Diceros bicornis minor: one gene and its partner. The protein of the gene in region 2 interacts with the protein of the main gene of each other region in a biochemical or structural test. Links are inferred from orthologs where the notes say so. Each region holds a gene or a part of one and is shown on either strand. Other genes may lie near its edges.

Region 1 (10,425 bases), on a different chromosome or scaffold from region 2:
CAAAAATTTGGAAATACTTCTAATGTCTATCAACCGGTGAAAAGATACACAATGTACGTTATATTCATATTACAGAATTCTACATAGCAATAAAACACTGATACATGCAACACCATGAATGAATTAACAAAAAGTAACCTGAGGAGACCGGCCCCCTGGCATAGTGGTTAAGTTTGCCACGCCTTGCTTGGTGGGCCTGGGCTCGCGGGTTCGGATCCCAGGTGTGAATCTACATCACTTGTCAGCCACACTGTGGCAATGACCCACGTATAAAGTGGAGGAAGATTGGCACAGATGTTAGCTCAGGGCTAATCTTGCTCAGCAAAAAAAAAAATAAATAAATAAATGTAAAAAGTAACCGATAGTAACAGAAAGTAGTGGTTGCGTGGGGCTGGGGGTTGTGTGCAGTAGGGGGAGCTGACTGAGAAGAGGCACAAGAGAACTTTTTAAGGTAATGGATATGTTTCATATCTTGAGTGTGCTGGTAGTTACACAGGTGTACACATTTGTCAAAACTCATGGAATTGTACACTTAAAAAGGGCATGCTTTACTGATGATAAATTTTACCTCATAAAGTTGATTTTTTCAAAAGGACTTAAGAGACACAAATAAACACAATGTGGAGACGTTGTTTAGATCCTGATTCTAACAAACCAACTGCAAAAAAAATTATAAGGCGTTCATGAAAATTTGAATCCTGACCGAATATTTACTGATACTGATATTGTTAAAAAATTTTACCTGTGATAATTATATAGTGGTTATATTAAAAGAAGGTAAGAAGTCCTATTTTTGTGAAGTATTTATGGATGAATTGATATAGTGTGTGGGATTTGCTTTAAAAGAATTAAAGCACAGGACAGTGGTGGGGTGCAGATGAAACAAGTTTGGCCAAATATTGATAACCATTGAAGCTGGGTGATGGGCACACTGGGGTATATTATATTATATTATATTATTGTAATTATAATTTCAGTATTGTATTATATATTATTAGATTAATTTTTTTATCTCTACATTTGTATGTGCTTGATATTGTCCATAACAAAAAAATTATTTTTTAAGAATTTAGAAGTCATATCAACCAAATGCAATGTGTTGACCTTATTTGAATCCTAAGTGAGCAAACCAACAATAAAAAGATATTTATGGGACAATTGGGGAAATTTGAATACTGACTAGATAATGGGTGACATTAAGGAATTTGGAGGAGAAACTTTTTTTGATGTTATGATAATTCTGTGGTTATGCAAAAAAGAAGTTGAAGATAAAAATGGAGGAGGAGAAGGAGAATAAGAAACACAGCCACAGCAATGACCACATCCGGCACACAGATCTTTCTTCGTTTTCCACTCAAAGGTAGAAATGGCTTATTCTTCAGCATGGGACATTTTGTTGTGCCAAAAAGTAAGACAGAGCTCAAAGACGATGCGGACATATCAAAAATACAGGAGCCAGCTTGAAAGGACTCCCACTGACCCTATCTTGGACAATTTGAGCACTAAAATAAATAATGATAGCAAAGCATTACAATCCATTGGATAAAATAAGAGTCCGTGAATCCATGCAGACAAACAAACAAACATTTTCCTTATATTAGAAGACCAACTAATAAATGTGTAAAGAATGATGGTATTAGAAAATTACCATTTGACAACCATCATTATAATACCTGAATCATGCAAAAATCAATAGATGCCATAATGAATGCATAGGTGAAAGTTTGAGGAGTGACATAAAATTAATGTAGTCTTAATGTACCTCTCCATAAGATATTTATTAATTAGAAAGGCGAAAAGTAGTAATTTAAACCTGACAGACACCACCTTTTTTTTTTAATTTTATTTATTTATTTATTTTTTCCCCCAAAGCCCCAGTAGACAGTTGTATGTCATAGCTGCACATCCTTCTAGTTGCTGTATATGGGACACGGCCTCAGCATGGCTGGAGAAGCGGTGCGTTGGTGTGCGCCCGGGATCCGAACCTGGGCCGCCAGCAGCAGAGCGTGCGCACTTAACCGCTAAGCCACGGGACGGGCCCTAATAGACACCACCTTAACCAAATGATCAACGTTAACATCATTAATAACAGGACAAATTGACATCATGTGCCTCCCAATATGATGCACTAAGAACTCAGCATCACATTTGTGCTATTCCTGCCTCAAGTGTGTGACCTGAATCCAACCGTGAGGAAACATAAGACAACTCAAACTGAAAGACGAGAAAACTGGCTAGTAATGTTCAAGACGTCGATGTCATGAAAGACAAAGAAGGAGAGGAACTGTTCCAGATTGAAGGAGATCAAACAGATATGATAACTGAATGCGATACACAATCTGGGATTTTATTTTCCTCTATTATTGCAATATTTGGTGAAATCTGAGTAAGTTATATAGATTAGATAATGATATTCAATCAATATTAATATCCTGATTTTGATAATTGTATAGTGGCTATCTAAATGAATGTCTTATTTTTAGGAAAGCACACAGTGAAATATTTAGGGATGAAAGGGCATCATATCTGCAACTTACTCTCCAACGGTTTAGGAAAAAGAGAGAAGAAGAAAGAATAAAGCCAATATGATGAAATGATATCATTTGAGGAACCTGGGTGAGAGGCATATGGCAATTATTTGCAATTTTCTGTAAGTCTGAAATTATGTCAAAATAAAAAGTTGAAAAGAAGTGAGGAAAAAAACCTTGAGAGTAAAATCAACCAACTCAATCCCTCCCCACCCCAAAAGAAAGGAGATTATTAGTGGGAATGTAAAATGGTGCAGCCACTATAGAAATCAGTATGGTGATTTTTCAAAAAATTAAAAATTGAATTACCATATGATCCAGCAATTCCATTCCTGGGTGTACATCTGAAAGAACTGAAAGCATGATCTCAAAGAGATATTTGCACTGTGCTAATAGCAGCATTATTCACAGTAGCTGAGATGTAGAAGCAAACCAAATGTCCATGGACGGATGAATGGATAAAGAGAATGTGGCATATATATCATAGAATGGGATATTATTCAGCCTTAAAGAGGAAGGAAATTCTGACACATGCTGCAACATCTATCAGAACATGGTGAACCTTGAGGACATTATGCTGAGTAAAATAAGTGAGTCACAAAAAGACAAATACTGTATGAATCCACTTATGTGTGGTATTTAAAGTAGTCATATTCATGTTAATAGAAAGTACACTGGGCCGGCCCCGTGGCTTAGTGGTTGAGTGGGAGCGCTCCGCTGCTGGCGGCCAGGGTTCGGATCCCGGGCGCGCACCGACGCACCGCTTCTTGGGCCATGCTGAGGCCGCGTCCCACATGCAGCAACTGGAAGGATGTGCAGCTATGACATACAACTATCTACTGGGGCTTTGGGGGGAAATAAATTAATTAATTAAATCTTTAAAAAAAAAAAAAAAAGAAAGTACACTGATGGTTGCCAGGAGCTTTGGGGAAGGGGAAATTAGGAGTTCTTTAATGGGTGTAAAATTTCTACTTTGCAAGATGAAAAAGTTCTGGACATCTGTTGCACAACAATGTGAATGTACTTAATCCTACTGAACTGTACACTTAAAAATGGTAAAGATGGTAAATTTTATGTTTTTTACCACAATTTTTTTAAAAAGCTCTTCAGTTTTAAAAAAGAGGTTAACAGTGAATTATTTACAGATGAAATTATATAATGTATGGGGAGGAATAAAGGCTATAGATGAAACAAGACTGACTATACATTGGTAATACTGAGGTTCAGGGGCTGGTACGTGGAGTTGCATTATATCATTCTTTCTATTCTTATATATGTTCGAGATTTTCCACTGAAAAAATTTCTCCACTTCAGACTTCATAAAATGAAATTTAGATTCTGTGAGATTGCCCCATATCTTTACTCAACTTTATTTATTGATGACTTTTGACCATTACTGAGTTTCACAATTAAATGAGAATTAGAAAACTAGAATCATGTGTAGAGATCTCCAAAGATTTTTAGAGAGCTGTCAAGAAACTGAGAATCTCCAACACAAAGAAGTGCTACGTGGTTCAAAATATAACTTTAATGATAATTTTTAATATTAATGCTTGAGAGTAAGAGTAATGTACAAGAGCAAGCATGGCTGCAGAATAGTCTGGACCAGTAAGTTGTATAAATTAAGCAGGGAGCTAAATTCTGCTGTTGCCTAAATTAGGAAGGAGCATGAAGAAAGGAGGAAGTAGTTGGGAAGAGTGTCTGGGGGATTTGCATGTGTACACGCGGTGCAGTGTTGCTTGAGTTACTGACCAAAGTCTCCAGGGGAATCAAACAAGAATGTCCCTTGTCGCTCGGAGGTCGCAATGAGCACATAGCATGTTCACTAGTCCTTCTGTCTCCACAAAACTAGCCACATTAACGCTGGTTTCTTGTACTAGGAAACTTTTTAGGTCTTTCTAGCACCCAAGCCTGTGGTTTCAGAAATGAGGAAGAGGTGTGAGATGATGGTGGAGCAGTGTGCCTGGACCAGGTTGTGCAGGGCCTTAAATTTCTTTCTTTATGTTTTCTGCTACTAATAAATTACTATATTGTCATCACAAGAGTGAAACCTACATCAAAGTACTACTGAGCAAAACTGAAATTTCCCTTCACTCCAACTCTCTACTTCCACTCCCCACGCCCTAAGGGAACCACTACCCTCAGCTTGGCATGCAGCTTTCTTTTCTTTCTTCCAGTTCATAGTTGACCTGCAAGCCTCAAATCAGAAAGAGAAAATCCTAAGTCCAGATCTGGTGGTAGTTCTGGGGTCTCCCGGTACCCTGTATTTACATGTCAGCATCTCACACGGGGAGCTGTGACTGGCCATTTGCCATCTGTTGGTCTCATAGATGGTAACCTCCTGGTGGCCAAGGCTGGGTTTTACTAAATTTTGTTGTCCTGAGCTTGGGGAGGCCAGGGCAGGGAGGGGGCGTTCACAGATTGTTTACTGAGGGCACTGGGTGGAGGAGGGGCAGGCTGCCTGGACAAATTTGGTCTGCCTTTCTCGGGCCGGTTCTTACTCAAGGCATATTTAAGGGGCCGGCCTCTAAGTAGGGGCCCAGTCAGGTCATACAAACTCTGGCGGCCTGAGCTGAAGCCTCCCCAGTGACAGAAACGCATCAAAAATGCACTAAAGCAACACGGCCTAGGGGGAATGGCCCTGGACTTGCAGGAAAGATGCAAGGAAGCCGTGGGACTTCGTGTTCCCTCTCCGAGCCTCGTCTTCCTCTTCCTACAGAGGAAGAAACTCCTAATAATGGGATTTATAATATCCGCCCAGCTTGGGTGAAGAAGCTTTTGCAGACTAAATCAGGAGCAAGGTCTCCGCAGCGACCAGCCCTCAGTGCGCCCGAGGCCGGGCTGCCCGCGCGCCGTGGCCCGGTGCCCATTCTGGCCACCTGGTCCAGCCCGCTTCCCTCTAGAGCGGCCGGAGCTGTCCCCGGCGCCGGTGCCCCGGGGTCGGGCGCCGCCGGCAGGGAGCGGGGAGCGCTGCGCGGCCTCCGCGCCCCTCGGGCTGGGCCGCCGGCCTGCTGCCGCCCTCCTGTGGCCGCCGCGAGCGACCTCCGGCCGGCCTGCGGGCCCCTCCCTCGGCCGGTGACATCACCGCATTCCCGTCCCGGCTCCTCCCGCCGGCAGCCGCAGTGACAGGCGAGCCGGGCCGGTGGCGGAGAGGCAGTGCGGGCCGCCGCGCCGAGCCCGTCCCCGCGAGGCCGGCTCCCCGGGCGGCTCGGGTGACAGTGTCGCGGCCGCCGGGCACGCGCCGGGCAGAGCCGAGCGCCAGGCGCACGCCTCGGCAGAGACGCGGGGAAAATGGCTGATGACTTTGGCTTCTTCTCGTCGTCGGAGAGCGGGGCCCCCGAGGCGGCCGAGGAGGACCCGGCGGCCGCCTTCCTGGCCCAGCAGGAGAGCGAGATCGCGGGCATAGAGAATGACGAGGGCTTCGGGGCTCCCGCCGGCGGCCAGGCGGCCCTCGCGCAGCCGGGACCAGCGAGCGGGGGTGAGTCAGCGCGGCGGCCCGGAACGGGGGCCTGGGGCTCGCACCGCGGGGACCTGCCAGCGCAGCCCGGGCCTCGGGGCCCGCGCTCGAGTGAAGAGGGCCTGCTGTCCACCGGCCAGGAGCAGGCCTGGGGCTGTGTGTGTACACGAGGGGACCTGGGGGAAGTGGGGAGGAATCCTCTTGGAGATCCCCATTTGAGGCGGCGCCTGGGACTGTGGATCTGGCGGCTCCCGGAACAGGAATTCATCATGACATTTCATCCCCAGGCCAGCTCCACCACCGCCTGGCTCTGGAATCCAGCCCAGCCCAGCCCTGAGAGTCTGTCCTGAGCCTCGAGTTGTCCGGCTGTCCCAGGCTCCTGGCTAAGCCATGCAGATGTGGGCACAAATGCAGACCTCCTGGCCCCTCAGGCTTAGCTCCCTGCTACAGCTGGGAAAGCAGGGGTCACTGGGTGCTCCAAGAACTCACAGACCTTTCCTGGGGACCACCTGCCATCCTGCAGCCACTGGGCCAGGCACTTTACCTACTTTTAATCATTTCATACGCCTTATTGAACCCATTTCAGAGATGGAAATGTTAAGGCTCAAAAGGTACACCATTGAAACAACTAGTAAGTGGCAGAGGAGGGATTTAAACCTGTTTCTGGCAGACTCTAAGCCCTCTCCACCTGACCACACTGCCTTCCACCTGCCTGGCTCAGAGTTCACAGCCAGAGTGGGGGCAAGGCCACAAAGAGCTTCAGTCAGATGTGGTCCTGTCCTCCTTGGGGCTTGAAACCGTCCGTTAATGGTTTCCCAAAGGTGGTCCAGAGCTATCGTGGTTGGCTTCAGACTCAGGGTTCAGGGTCTGATCTCTGCGACAGCATGTTTATCAGTGATGTTCCTGCTCTGGTTCTGCCTTGAAAGAACAATTTCTTAAAATGTTTAGTAAAAAAAGGAGAAATCACCTTCATGGGTGCATCCACAACAGCCCTTGCTTCCTGCTAATGTTGTCATTTTGCTGGGGGCTTATAAGCCTGTTGGAATAAGTGGTAGCTCATGTATTTTAAAAAAGATACTTATAAATAAGGCTCCTTATAGTCATGTTTGTATGCATTCAACTTTAACTGAACACCTACTGTGCGCCAGGCCCACTGGGGATACAGAAATGAATAAGACAGTTCTTATGGCTTGAGGAGTTTGAAGCATCTCTGTATCGCCTTGATATGAGAAATGTAACAAGTCTTTTGTAACATATAAGGAACTGGAGGCCCAGAGAACCTGAATATCTTGCCCAAAGTCACACAGCCATGAGAGACAGATCTGGGACTTGATCCCAGACCTCCCAACTCTGGGCTCCATGCTCTTTCAAATGCTGTGGCAGTCACGCTGGGAGGTGATGGGATGTTGGGGTGATGGGGGGGGGTCTCTTGCTACCCAGCCAAGCCAGCAGTGGAGGTCTTCTGAAGCAGCAGCTCTGGCCCCTCAGCACAGACCCTCACGCATCCCAGGGAATTCCTAGGAAATGCCTGCACATGTTCATGCACCAGTATTAATTTGTCCACACCTCCTCCTTGAGACGACCATCTTCCCCAGTCCGGGTGGCCAGGGGGAGGCCCTGCTGAGAAAAGCCCATGTCAGAACCCCCTGAGAGAGAAGGGTGGGTAGAACGCAGATGAGAACGCAGAAGTGTCTGGGAGTTGAGCAGGTTGTGGCCTCTCCCAGGACAGTGGGGCTCCTGGGGCTTACAGCCTGGATGCAAGTTTCCTTCTCTGGCAGGGATTGGGCACAGATTGGCCCCAGACCTGAGGTGGCCGGAAGAGAAGCAGGGTCTCCCAGACCCACACCCACCGAAGCTGCACGTGCTCGGCTGCCCTTCTAAGTGGGGCGTGGGGAGCAGGGCGGTCCTGCGGGAGGGCAGCTCAACTGGTGGCCACACAGGATGGAATTGACCTGACCCTCCTAGGCCTAGATGGTCCTGAGCAAGTATCCACTTGACCAGCTGTGAGTGCCCGAAGCCCGATGGGAGGAGAAAAGCACCTAGGCCTGCTGGGAGCTGGGCGGGAGCTGTTTCTGCTGCTGCTGCCAATCAACACCTCTGAGTCTGTCTCTAAGATGAAGCCCCTGTGCTGAGAGCCCTGGCACTTGGCCCCCAGGTACTCCTGGGGAGAGAGGTGTCTGGTGTAGGCCTGAGCCTGAGCCACACTGAGTCTCTCTGGGGGCTGGATCTGTGGCCAGCCCGAGCAACGGACACTTTGTTTCCATTCATCAGCCTTGGGTAGGGCCCAGAAAGTTTACATTTTCACACCCAGATTGCTGAGCGCTTGGCCTGGCTCTGCCCCTGACTTGCCCAGTCAGTTCCTGGCAAGCCCATTTCCCCTGCTGGGCCTCGGTAAGCTCCCAGGAATGTTCTGGACCTTACCTGCCCCTGTTCCAAAAGGGGTCAGGAATCTGAGGGAAGCAACACCCCCGGAGTTATCCCTGGGACTCGTGTCTGCTGTGTGCTTGTTCTGCCAGCCTCTGACTGTGGACACACGATTATAGCTGTGCAGTAGCCTAATCGGAGAGCATTGTGGGGACAGAGCCTCAGGATTCTGTGTGGGGGTGTGTGTGTATCGTCAAAGGGGCTGAGACTTCATCCCCAAAGGAACACTCACGAGGCTGAGAGACAGGGGCAGAGAGTCTTTCCAAAGGCCAGAGTGGGCACTGGGCAGCTGCCTGCGGACAAGGGGCCTGAGACTGGGACTGGTCAGGGTGGAGTGGGGTGGTGCAACTTCTGCTCCAGAAAGGCTCCGCGTACAGACCAGCGTCATTGTGAATGGGCCCTGGTAGAGGAGATGCCCCAGGAGAAGAAGCCCCTTTGCAGAAGATGCTGCCGCTGAAACCGCATGAGCCTCACCCTAGCTTAGGGACCAGGCCCCCTATGTAGGAGAAGCCCTATCTGAGTGAGTAGGGATGACAGCTGACATGGTTGGTCAGAATCTATCGCTGTTTGACTCTGAAAACAAAGTCGATTGTGATTTATATCGACCTGGGATTATTTCCATGTGATGAAGCATCTCTCCCTTCAGTCCCCAGGCTGAAAGCACTGTCACTGCTGCTCACAGCTTTATCTGGCTGGTAATGGCTGTCCATCTGTGGTAGTCTCGTGTGGCCTCCTGCGGCTCTTTGCTAGAAGGCATTGCAGTTTTCAGAGCCCTTAGACAGGCCCTGCAGATAACAGTGGGTCCCCGAAGAGCAATGCAAGTTCCGTTTAGCCCATGCTTGCTGCTCACCCGTTCTGTGCAGGAGCCCTTAGGAACTGCATGAGATACAGGTTCTAGGAAGGCAGTGCATGACCCCTGCGAGGTCACGAGTGATTGCATAAGAGGGTGGGGAATGATATTGTGGGATACCCCAGACGTGAGACCTTCCATCAGCACCTAGGGAAGTAGGGGAAGTAGTGGAGGGCTTCCCAGAGGAGGTGATGTGTGGACTGGGCCTTGGAGAACAACTGGATCCAAAAGAGCATTCTGTAGAGAGGGGAGCAGGAAGAAAGGCGTGGGGTGCGGAGTGGTGTGTTTGGGGAAGGAGGAGACTAGAATTTAGGGTCTATGGGAGGGACTGGTGGGCCGCGAGGTGGAAAAATGGGCAGGGCCGGGTTGTAAAGGTCCTCCTGTGCTGTGCTCCGGAGTTTGATGTACTCAGTTGGCAAATACTCATTCAGTCCGTGTTCCGTGCCAGGCACTGTTCTAGGAGCTGGGCCCCAGCAGTGGACCAAACAGACACCCTGCCCTCAGGAAGGGTCCATTCAAGCCGGGGGGACGGATCATAAACACACACACGATGAACACATCAGGCTGTGGGAAGTTATATGGGGAAAACACAGCTGGGGGAGGAAGGGGTGCCGAGGGGAGAATGTCGGGGGGCTGGGAAGGCCTCTAATAAGGCAGCGTTTGAGCAGAGGCCGAAGGGAGTGCAGGAACAGCCCACGGGGAGACAGGTCGGACGGCCTTCCAGGCGGAGGGAACAGCACCTGCCAAGGCCCCGAGGCAGGAGCAGGCCCTATAGGCCGCTGGGGTCCAAGCGCAGTGGATCTCTTTCTGTTTTGTTTTCATTACATTTTTAATCAGAGGAGGGACATAGGTAAGTGTATGCTTTCCAAAATGTCAGTCCTGGCAGTTGGTTTGAAAGAGGGTTGGGAGAGGGTGAAGCTGCAGTCAGGGAGGCCTATGAGTGGACAAAAGCCACTCATTCACTCTTTCTTTCTTTCATGCATTTATTCGTTTGTTTATTCAACAAATAGTTTCTAGCTCTTACTAAGTCGCAGGTACCATGCACGGCTCTAGGACGGCAGTGGTGAGAGAAAGGACACAGGTGTGCCCCTCCAGGTGTTTGCCACTGGCAGGGCAGACAGAGAAAAGCAGAGGTGGGGGGGCGAGGGGGGCGGGCAGGGGGCAGA
Region 2 (10,458 bases):
GTGGAGGAAGATGGGCACAGATGTTAGCCCAGGGCCGTCTTCCTCAGCAAAAAAAAAGAGGAGGATTGGCAGATGTTAGCTCAGGGCTGATCTCCGCACAAAAAAAAAAAAATTAAAATTAGTTGCGGGGCCGGCCCGGTGGCGCAAGCGGTTAAGTGCGCGCGCTCCGCTGCGGCGGCCCGGGGTTCGCTGGTTCGGATCCCGGGCGTGCACCGACGCACTGCTTGGTAAGCCATGCTGTGGCGGCGTCCCATATAAAGTGGAGGAAGATAGGCACCGATGTTAGCCCAGGGCCGTCTTCCTCAGCAAACAAAGAGGAGAATTGGCGGATGTTAGCTCAGGGCTGATCTCCTCACAAAAAAAAAAAAAAATTTAAAAAAAAAAAAAAAAAAAAAGAAATAGAGATTCTGAATAGACCAATCACAAGTAAAGAGATAGAAACAGTAAAAACCCTCCGAAAAACAAAAGTTCAGGACCAGATGGCTTCTCTGGAGAATTCTACCAAACATTCAAAGAAGATTTAATACCTATCCTTCTCAAACTATTCCAAAAAATTGAAGAAGACAGAATGCTTCCTAACTCATTCTATTCGGCCAACATTACTCTGATACCAAAACCAGACAAGGACAACACAAAGAAGGAAAATTACAGGCCAATATCATTGATGAACATAGATGCAAAAATCCTCAACAAAATATTGACAAATCGAATACAGCAACACATTAAAAGGATCATATACCATGATCAAGTGGATTTATACCAGGGATGAAGGGATGGTTCAACATCCACAAATCAATCAATGTGATACACCACATTAACAAAACAAGGAATAAAAACCATATGATCATCTCAATAGATGCAGAGAAAGCATCTGACAAGATCCAATATCCATTTATGATAAAAACTGTCAATAAAATGGGACTAGAAGGAAAGTACCTCAACACAATAAAGGCCATATATGACAAACCCACAGCCAACATCATACTCAATGGGGAAAAACTGAAAGCCATCCCTCTGAGAACAGGAACAAGACAAGGGTGCCTACTCTCACCACTCTTATTCAACGTAGTACTGGACGTTTTGGCCAGAGCAATTACGCAAGAAAAAGAAATAAAAGGAATGCAAATTGGAAAGGAAGAAGTGAAACTCTCACTGTTTGCAGATAGCATGTTTCTATACATAGAAAACCCTAAAGAATCCACCAGAAAACTATTAGAAATAAGCAACAACTATAGCAAAGTTGCAGGGTACAAAATCAGCCTACAAAAATAAGTTGCACTTCTATACACTAATAATGAACTAGTAGAAAGAGAAGTTAAGAATACAATCCCTTTTACAATCACAACAAAAAGAATAAAATATCTATGAATAACTTTAATCAGGAAGGTGAAAGACCTATACATGATAACTATAAGACACTATTGAAAGAAATTGAAGAAGACATAAAGAAATGAAAAGATATTCCATGCTCATGGATTGGAAGAGTAAACATCATTAAAATGTCCGTATTACCTAAAGCAATCTACAAATTCAATGCAATCCCAGTCAGAATCCTAATGACATTCTTCACGTAAATAGAACAAAGCATCCTAAAATTTATATGGAACAACAAAAGATCCCAAATAGCCAAAGCAATCCTGAGAAAAAAGAACATAGCTGGAGGCATCACAATCCCTGACTTCAAATACTACAAAGCTATAGTAATCAAAACAGCATGGTACTGGCACAAAAACAGACACACAGATCAATGGAATAGAACTAAAACCACAAGTCTATGGACAGCTACTTTTCGACAAAGGAGTCAAGAACATACAATGGAGAAGGGAAAGTCTCTTCAATAAATGGTGTTGGGAAAACTGGACAGCCACATGCAAAAGAATGAAAGTAGACTATTACCTTACACCATACACAAAAATCAACTCAAAATGGATTAAAGACTTGAATGTAAGAGCTGAAACCATAAAACTTCTAGAAGAAAATGTAGGCAGTATACTCTTTGACATTGGTCTCAGCAGCATATTTTTGAAACCACATCTACTCAGGCAAGGGAAACAAAGGAAAAAATAAACAAATAGGACTACATCAGACTAAAAAGCTTCTGCAAGACAAAGGAAACCATGAACAAAATGAAAAGACAACCCACCAACTGGGAGAAAATATTTACAAATCATATATCCGACAAGGGGTTAATTTCCAAAATATATAAAGAACTCATACAACTCAACTACAACAACAACAAAACAACCTGATCAAAAAACGGGCAGAGGATATGAACAGACATTTTTCCAAAGAAGATACACAGATGGCCAATAGGCACGTGAAAAGATGTTCAACATCACTAATTATTAGGGAAATGCAAATCAAAACTACAATGAGATAACACCTCATACCCAACAGAATGGCTATAACTAACAAGACAAGAAATAACAAACATTGGAGAGGGTGTGGAGAAAAGAGAACCCTCATACACTGCTGGTGGGAATGCAAACTGGTGCTGCCACTATGGAAAACAGTATGGAGATTTCTCAAAAAGTTAAAAATAGAAATACCATATGATCCAGGTATCCCACTACTGGGTATTTATTCAAAGAACATGAAATCAACAATACAAAGAGATCCATGCAGCTCTATGTTCATTGCAGTGTTATTCACAACAGCCAAGATGTGGAAGCAACCCAAGTGCCTATCAACTGTTAAATGGATACAGAAGATGTGGTATATATATACAATGGAATACTACTCAGCCATAAAAAAAGACCAAACGGTCTCATTTGCAACAACATGGATGGACCATGAGGGTATTATGTTAAGTGAAATAAGCCAGGCAGAGAAAGACAAATACCATATGATTTCAATCATATGTGGAAGATAAACACATGGATAAAGAGAACAGATTAGTGGTTACCAGAGGGGAAGAGGGTAGGGTGGTGGGCAAAAGGGGTAAAGGGGCACACATGTATGGTGACAGATAAAAACTAGACTCTTGGTGGTGAGCACGATGCAGTCTATACAGAGACTGATATATAATAATGTACACCTGAAATTACACAATGTTATAAACCAATATGACCTCAATAGAATAATTTTAAAAAATGTATACCTGGCATAATCTAAATACAAGTCCTTTTTTGGATGAATGTTTTGGAAATATCTTTCCCAGTCTGTGCCTTCCTTTTCATTTTCATAGCATTCTTTCGAAGAGCAAAGAGAAGTCCTATTTATTGATTTTTCCCTCTTTTATACTTCATGCTTTGGGTGTTGTATTTGAGAAACCTTTCCCAAACCCAAGGTCACTAAGATTTTCTCTTATAAGTTTTATAGTATTAGTTTTTACACTTTGGTCTATGATCCATTTTCAGTTAGTTTTTGTATATGGTGTGAGGAAAAGATTGAGGTTCTTTTTTTTTTTTGGCACATGAATATCCAATTGTTCTAGCACCATTTGCTGAAAAGATTATCTTTCTTCCATTGCATTGCCTGCACCTTTGTGGAAAATCACTTGACTATATATCTGTGGGTCTGTCTCTGTGGGTTTCCCAGAGATCAGGATTCCACGTCTGAAAACCGGGCATCCTGAGAAGGCATAAGACAAATGGTCCCTAAATTGCTGGGAGAGATGTAAGAGCTGAAAGAAGCTAGCAGAGTCCTGTAGTTTACATCCTGGAGGAGGGTTTCTCTCAACCCTTGGCAAAGGGTTTTGCTGCTGCAGCAAGTGAGAAATCCTTATTTTTCTTTATTGCTGAGTTTCACAGAGGTAACTAGCTTGAGTCTTTCTCCACAGGGTGTCTCCAAACCACAAATTCCTGATTCCTACTGGGGTTTATTCTAATAAGGAGTAGGCTGATCCCTTAATCCCTGTTTAAAGGGCCCCTGTTTATTGCAGCTATAAACTCTGGGCAAAGGATCATAAATCACTCTTTAGTTGGGTCCAGAGCATGAGGTGGGGGCAGGACTAAGAATGGGCACACAGAGGTAATATTATGATGAACCCTGTCTGTTTTCCCTGTAGGTATAGTCCTGTGAGCTCCTGGGCTGGGAACTTCCAAGGGCTGCTCCAGATCCAGCCTCCACTCGGCTCTGTGCCTGGAAGGAGGGGTGGGGGTAGTACTAACGGATCGTCCTTGCCCTCCTTCCCCCTGGGTTCGGCCAATGGGAGGCACTAGTAGGAAATCAGAGGACGGGAGGGATAGAGAGAGATTGGGCTCTTCCAGTGACTGGGTTTCTACCTAAAGCCACGGCTCTTGTCGGGTGCCTCCTCTCCCAAGACTAGAGCTCGCACCTGGTTCCGGTAAGCGCCCTCCCCGTGTCCCTTCAGGGCTAGGGCTGGTAACAGCTTCCCACTGTTCTATCCCCGGGTGCTTCACCCTCCCTGGCTGATCCCCTTATTCCAGGTTACAATTTTGCACATAGTTCCTTTCTCAATTCAATTAGCCCTTCCAGGGTGCAATCCCTCCCCCGCTGCTGCTCCGACTCATACAACATCACAGCCCCTAAACACCCCGAAACGCGGCCCTCAGTTCCAGTAATGGTGAAACCAGTGTGCTTGCTATGCAAATGAAGTCTCAAGGCAATTTCCCCTCCATCACATTGCCACCCTTCAATCCTTCCTCTCCAGAAGTTCCGGCCCCACCGCTGCCTCCTCCCTCCGCCTATTTCCCTTTGTCTGGGCCTCCTCACAGAACCGCCCACAGGAGGAAACTTTCTCCTCTCCATTCCGGGGTAGGCCCTCTCGGTCTCTCACGTACTGCTGGAGTCTCCCCGAAGAGTCCCTCCCTGCCCTTTCGCCCCGCAATGCCGTCCACACAATGCCAGCCCGGCAAAGCGCAGGTCTGTGCAAAAGCCTGCAGTAGCTCCGTAGCGCCTGCAAAGGCCCGCCCCCTCTTTCACTTCTGTGTTGAATGTGTGAACTTTTATAAAAAGCTCTTAGTTTAAATATTTTTAATGCCTTTCTTTGAGTTTCAAAGCATTTTTTTAACATGAAAATTTAATGGAAAACGTCTAACTTTCTTCAGCATCTCCGCTAGGGATCACACTTCCCTCCAGCTGACATCTGAGCAGGATGGGAGGGGTAGCCCGGAGCCGTGGATAAACAAAGTATCCACAGGGGTTTCCACCAACGAACACGTTCTGGCCGGGTCAAGATGATGTAGGGTTTGGAAAGAAGATGCCAGGAGGTTCCCACTGACCCGGCCCAGCGCTCCCGGGTGTGTGAGGATTACAAAGCGGATGGACAGGGACTCAGCGCAGGGTCAGGCTGAGGGAGGAGGCAGGTGAGCTGGGTAGGGGGCCGCCACCCACGGCGCCAGGTCGGGCAGACGCTGGCCCTTCCTACGGGAGCCGGGCCTGGGCGCAGCGCTTCCCGGGGCTCCGGCCGCCGAGCCGGTCCATCCCGCCCTCTCTCGTCCCCGACCCGAAAAGCGTAGACAGGCCATTCCCGGGCGGGTCCGGGTCCCCCGCGGGAGGCCCGACTCCGCGGCCAGCGTGACCCTCGCGCACCGCGCCGGGACCTCGCAGCGCCCCCGGCAGCAGCAGCGCGTGGCTCGCGGGGAAGCGCCGGGCGCGGGCGGGCGCGGTGGCAGGGGCGGCGAGGGCAGGTCAGGGCAGCCCTAGGCCCCACCCCCGCAGGGGGCCGCGGACCGGTGATGGACAGGCCTCCGGGCCGGTCGCTGCGCGCCTCGCGGTCCCGAGGGCCCAGCCGGGCGGAGCGCGCCGCGGGGCGGGGCGGGGCGGGGCGGGGGCGGGGGCGTCTCTGGGAGGGGCGGGGCCTAGGGAGAGTAGCGGCGCTCCCAGCCAATGGGAGGCAGGGGCCGTCCCGTTAGCGCCGGATCCCAGCGGGTGGGGCGGGCCGGGCGGCTCCGTGGGGATCCCGGGGCGGCCGAGGGCCGCGACTCGGATCCGCGCGGCGACATGGACCGGATGGCCAGTTCCATGAAGCAGGTGCCCAACCCCCTGCCCAAGGTGCTGAGTCGGCGCGGGGCGGGCGCGGGGGTGGAGGCGGCCGAACGGGAGAGCTTCGAGCGGACTCAGGTGAGGACCGGGGGACCGCGGGGCTTGCACGGCTAGGGCACCCCGAGAGATGCAGCGTCCGGGAGGGGCTTTGAAGGGAGTAAGGGTCTTGCAGGCCCAAGGGAGGACGGGGCAGGGGGGCCGAGAGAGGGAGCCTCTGGCGCGCAGGTCGAGGCGATCCCGGGAAGGTCGGGGACCCGGGCATCCCAGCTGGTCTGGGGAAAAGGGCAGGGCGGCCCCGAGGAACGGCACGATCCGGGCGGCCCGGCCCAGGGTGGCTGGTCCCGGCGGCACAGGGCAGGTGAGAGGGGAAGGCACCGAAAAGGGACCGAATGGAAGGGGAAGCGTACTGGGGGGCCGCTCGGAGACGCAAGTGTGGCGGCGGAGAGTGGGGCGCTGGTTTGGGGATGTGAAGGATGGGGAGCCCTTTTCTCCCCTCGCGATCGCTTCTCGGTTGCACTGGCATCCCCCCACCCCGAGCACCGCCTTCCCGGTGCCTCTTGCTTGGCACACAGCATCCCAGCTGTCGGCCTCCCCGGGCCGGGCCAAAGGGGTCTGAGCGGTGAGAAGGAATGTAGGAATGCGAAGTGTGGACGAGCTTGGAAAATGACTGGGGACTGGAGGAGGGGGCCGGCCAGGGGCAGGAATTGACGCGCTTGGCCCCACCGTCCGCCACTGGTCAGGACGGGCTGCCCAGAGGTGCCGGGAGCCCCAACTTGGGGTTTTGGTTTCATCCCCCAAGATATGCCTGACGGCTAATAGGCAGACTGCCCTGTTTGTCCAGCCAGGGCTGGGGGCCAAAATTCCTCAGTGTCATCAACAAAAAGCCACAATCCATTTTTACCTCAGAGTTTTAATGCCTGGTGTATTGATTTGACTGAATAAAGCTGACATGTTTCTGGTGTTCATCAGCTCTTTGTATGCAAAGTTCATTTTAAATGGCATAGCACTTCTCTTAATTCTAGTGCCCAGGTCATGGGGGCAGGCTCGTTCTCTGCTCTCGCTCTCAGAGTGGGACCTTTGGAGACCCTGCTGGGCCACCACTGCCAGCGCTGGTTCCCCTGCTGCGTTCTCCTTCTTCCCCCAAACACAGTACCACGTGAGGGAAGGGCTTTGGGGTTTTGGATAGGAAAGACTGTGAGGACCCGAGTGTTCTAAATATGGAGCTTACGGAGGATAAAGCTTTTCACCCCCAGGGAACTTCATCCTCTTCTTTCCAGGTGCCTGTGGCCCATCTGGTTACAAGGGTGTCTGGGTGATGTAAAGTGGGGAGTGTTCTCTCCCTGGATCATCCTACTCCAGGCAGGATGGGAGAGATGGCCTTTCACTTCTGCCTCCCAGGGTCCAGCTGGGTTTGAGGCTTATTCTCTGGCTTTGTGGCCTGGACCACTGAAAAGAAGGAAGCTTTCCTTCTGCCTGTCCACCACGGGTGTTACTGCCTCGACTAGCTGCCTGGTCACACGAGGCTTCTTGCTCCAGAAAACAGTGTGAATGTTCTTCTTTTTTTAATGGAAAAGAAAAATAAATAGGTGTTATTTTATAACCCATTCCTTCTAGAGTCTCAAATAAGTAAAAACTGGAGCAATAGAGAAATACACATAAAGCTTTGACCCATTGTAGTGATGGAAATTAGGTTTGTGACAGTTTCCACTCATGACTGGCATATCCCCTCACTATCCAGGGATAGCTGAACAAGGAGAGTCTAGGTCAGTGTTTTCCAGTGTTTTGCTTTCTGTGGGACACTTGTAATTGGCCAGATTTGATCTAGTGGCTTGTGTGTGGGGGGGGTGAGGAGGTAAACTGGATCAGGAAAAGACAGTGTTTCTATTGTTGACACTGTTAGAGGGTAGAAGAGTGAAGAAAAAGAAAAGAGAACCATCCTGAAACTTAGCTTTAGTCAACCTGCAAAAATTTAGTTTAATGACTATCTATCAAATGTATTATAAGATATAAAAATGAGTTAGAAAATTTTAATGAGGTAAGAGACCATGAGAGTCAGCCAAGGTAGAATGATAATTGTAACTAATTATTAGGTTTGGCACTGTTCTAATTACTTTATTGTTTTACCTTCTTTAATCTCCACAAGGACTGATGAGGTGGGTGTCAGCCACATTTTACTTTAAGAAACTAGAGGCACAGAGAGGTTAAGTGACTTGCCCAAGGTCACACAGCTGGAAGTGGTCCCAACCTTTAACCACTGTCTGTCTTGTGTTGCCTCTGAGTGTTGGGCAGAGCACTGGCATTGGAGTTGGAAGAGGTTGGTGAGTTTTACAGCTGGGCACGTGGATAGGCTGAGTAGCCTCAGGCAAATTGTCTAACCTTTTTTTTTTTTTATAATTTTATTTTATTTATGTTTTTCCCCCAAAGCCCCAGTAGATAGTTGTATGTCATAGTTGCACATCCTTCTAGTTGCTGTATGTGGGACGCGGCCTCAGCATGGCCGGAGAAGCGGTGCGTCGGTGCAGGCCCGGGAGCCCAACCCGGGCCGCCAGCAGCGGAGCGCATGCACTTACCCGCTAAGCCACAGGGGCCGGCCCTGTCTAACCTTTCTAAGCCTCAGTTTCCTTATTGTAAAATAAAGATAATACTCACCTGGCAGGTTTATTGTGGGAATTAAATAATAGACGTGAAGGCATTTTGTAAACTGTGGAGCACTATTTCAATGATGATTGCTGTAACGTGATTGGGGAGCTGAGACCTAAGAAGGCACAGGTGTGGGTAATCGTGCAGCCTCTGACTAACTCCAGTCAAGGGCCAGGAGTGTCCCTAGGTAACGGGATAATTACCAGGAGGTTGGAGCCCTCACCCCAGGACTGCGCCCCCCCCCCCTGAGGGCAACGTGTCTGGTTCTGGCGTGTGTGCCCCACACCTGAGGCTTGTGTTATGGGAACTGGCTGGTCGAGGGGAGGAAGTGACTGCTCAGTTCCATCCGGGAAGCCCTGGCCTGGGTGTCGCTCAGCCCTGGGCTACAGGGGACATCTGTCGTTACCTGACGTTTTCCCTAGTGGCCACATTCCCTCCCGATGCAGCCTTGTCTCCTGCACCCTGGGTCAGGAGCCCTGCCTGTGCCCTGCAAGGACTCGGATCTCTCTGCCTTCCTTCTGCTCAGGCCGGTGTCCCGGCTGCCTGTGCCCTCAGACCAGCTTGTCTCCTCACTCCTGCCAGTCTCTTCTGGGAAGCCTTCCCTCCTCAACAATCCTGGCATCATCCTCACACTTCACACGGCCCTTGTTCCAGCCAGAGTGGGGACCCCAGACCCGCCTACCACAAGCCCCATCTCCAACCAGACCCCTGGTGTGTCCCCTACCCTGCCCGTCACAAGCAACCTTCAGGCTCTAGGGAGATGAACAGTAGTTCTCGCCCTCAAAAAAGATGCTGTAATAATGACACCTTGCCTGGAGCACTTTACAGTTTATAAAGCCTGTTTGGCCATCATGGAGGCTGCATGGGGGCGGGGTATTTTTATGGATGAGAGCTGGTAACTTGTGCAGGACCACTGGTTGGTGAGTGGAAGGGTCGGGATTCAGATCTTGGGCCCCTGCCACCACACTGTCCTCATGTCGGCCAAGACGGCAATTCTGGAATGAACCAGGAGGGCTGCCACTTGCAAACAAAATCCCTGTCTGTATTTCCTTAGCTGGAAATGGTTTTTTCTGTGGTCTGTTTATTTTTTTGGCATTCATTTAGAGAGCATAGACCGTGGAGGGGACACAGAGATGAGGAAGATCAAGAGACCAGCCCCACAGGGGCTCTTGAGTCAGCAGGGAGGTGGACTGGCCACTGTGGGGCTCCTCTGTGGGGAGGACGGAGGAAGGACCTGCAGCTCTGGCGTCGTGGGAGCTGTCAGCAGTGCCGGGCCTACTCACTCAGAGCCTGCATTTCAACCAGACCCCGGGTCGTGCTGTGCACACCGAGGTTTTAGCAGCCCTGCTCGGTGGCAGGTGAATGCTGGGATCAGAGGATGGGGCTCTGGACACACAGAGCAGCCCTTAGAGAGCCACAGTCTCTTTGGGTGGAGCCCACAACAGAGTACAAGATCCTAATGAATCATGTGCTGGGAAGAGCCAGGAGACTCAGGTTCTAGAGAGGAGGAGACAGAAACATATTTATTGAGGGCCTGCTGGGCACTAGGAACATGTTAGGTGATTTCTTTTCATTATCCTATTTAATAGCTTAGGCTCCGAGAGGCCAAGTGACTTGTCTAAGGTCACACAGCAAGTCAACAGAGAAGTCAGGGCTTCAAAATCGGATGGCCATGTCCTCTTCTCCATGTTTAAGTCAGGGGCTCTTTCCACCATCTTGCTCATGCTCTTCATCAGATGCTCAGCCTTCGATTCACCAGCTGAAAAATTTTCGGCTTGGACCAGAGGGATCAGTGGTTCTTGACCCTGGCTGCACAGGAATGGCTTCTAAGATAACAGGTACTGCACCCCCCGTCCCCTGTTTGCCCTC

Evidence for each region. The genes of interacting proteins can lie anywhere in the genome.
Region 1: the proteins of HIP1 (region 2) and CLTB form a complex in vitro, tested with the Homo sapiens proteins (2 studies listed by BioGRID, with this or other methods). The link is inferred for Diceros bicornis minor from reciprocal best matches to the Homo sapiens genes HIP1 and CLTB.

Annotation. Positions count from the first base shown.
Region 1 is NC_080740.1:89,659,900-89,670,324, reverse strand, and holds the start of CLTB (clathrin light chain B), read left to right. Parts: upstream 1-5,682; 5' UTR 5,683-5,819; coding exon 5,820-6,006; intron 6,007-10,425. UniProt on the Homo sapiens protein: Clathrin is the major protein of the polyhedral coat of coated pits and vesicles.
Region 2 is NC_080765.1:3,062,451-3,072,908, reverse strand, and holds the start of HIP1 (huntingtin-interacting protein 1), read left to right. Parts: upstream 1-5,872; 5' UTR 5,873-5,907; coding exon 5,908-6,027; intron 6,028-10,458. UniProt on the Homo sapiens protein: Plays a role in clathrin-mediated endocytosis and trafficking. Involved in regulating AMPA receptor trafficking in the central nervous system in an NMDA-dependent manner. Regulates presynaptic nerve terminal activity.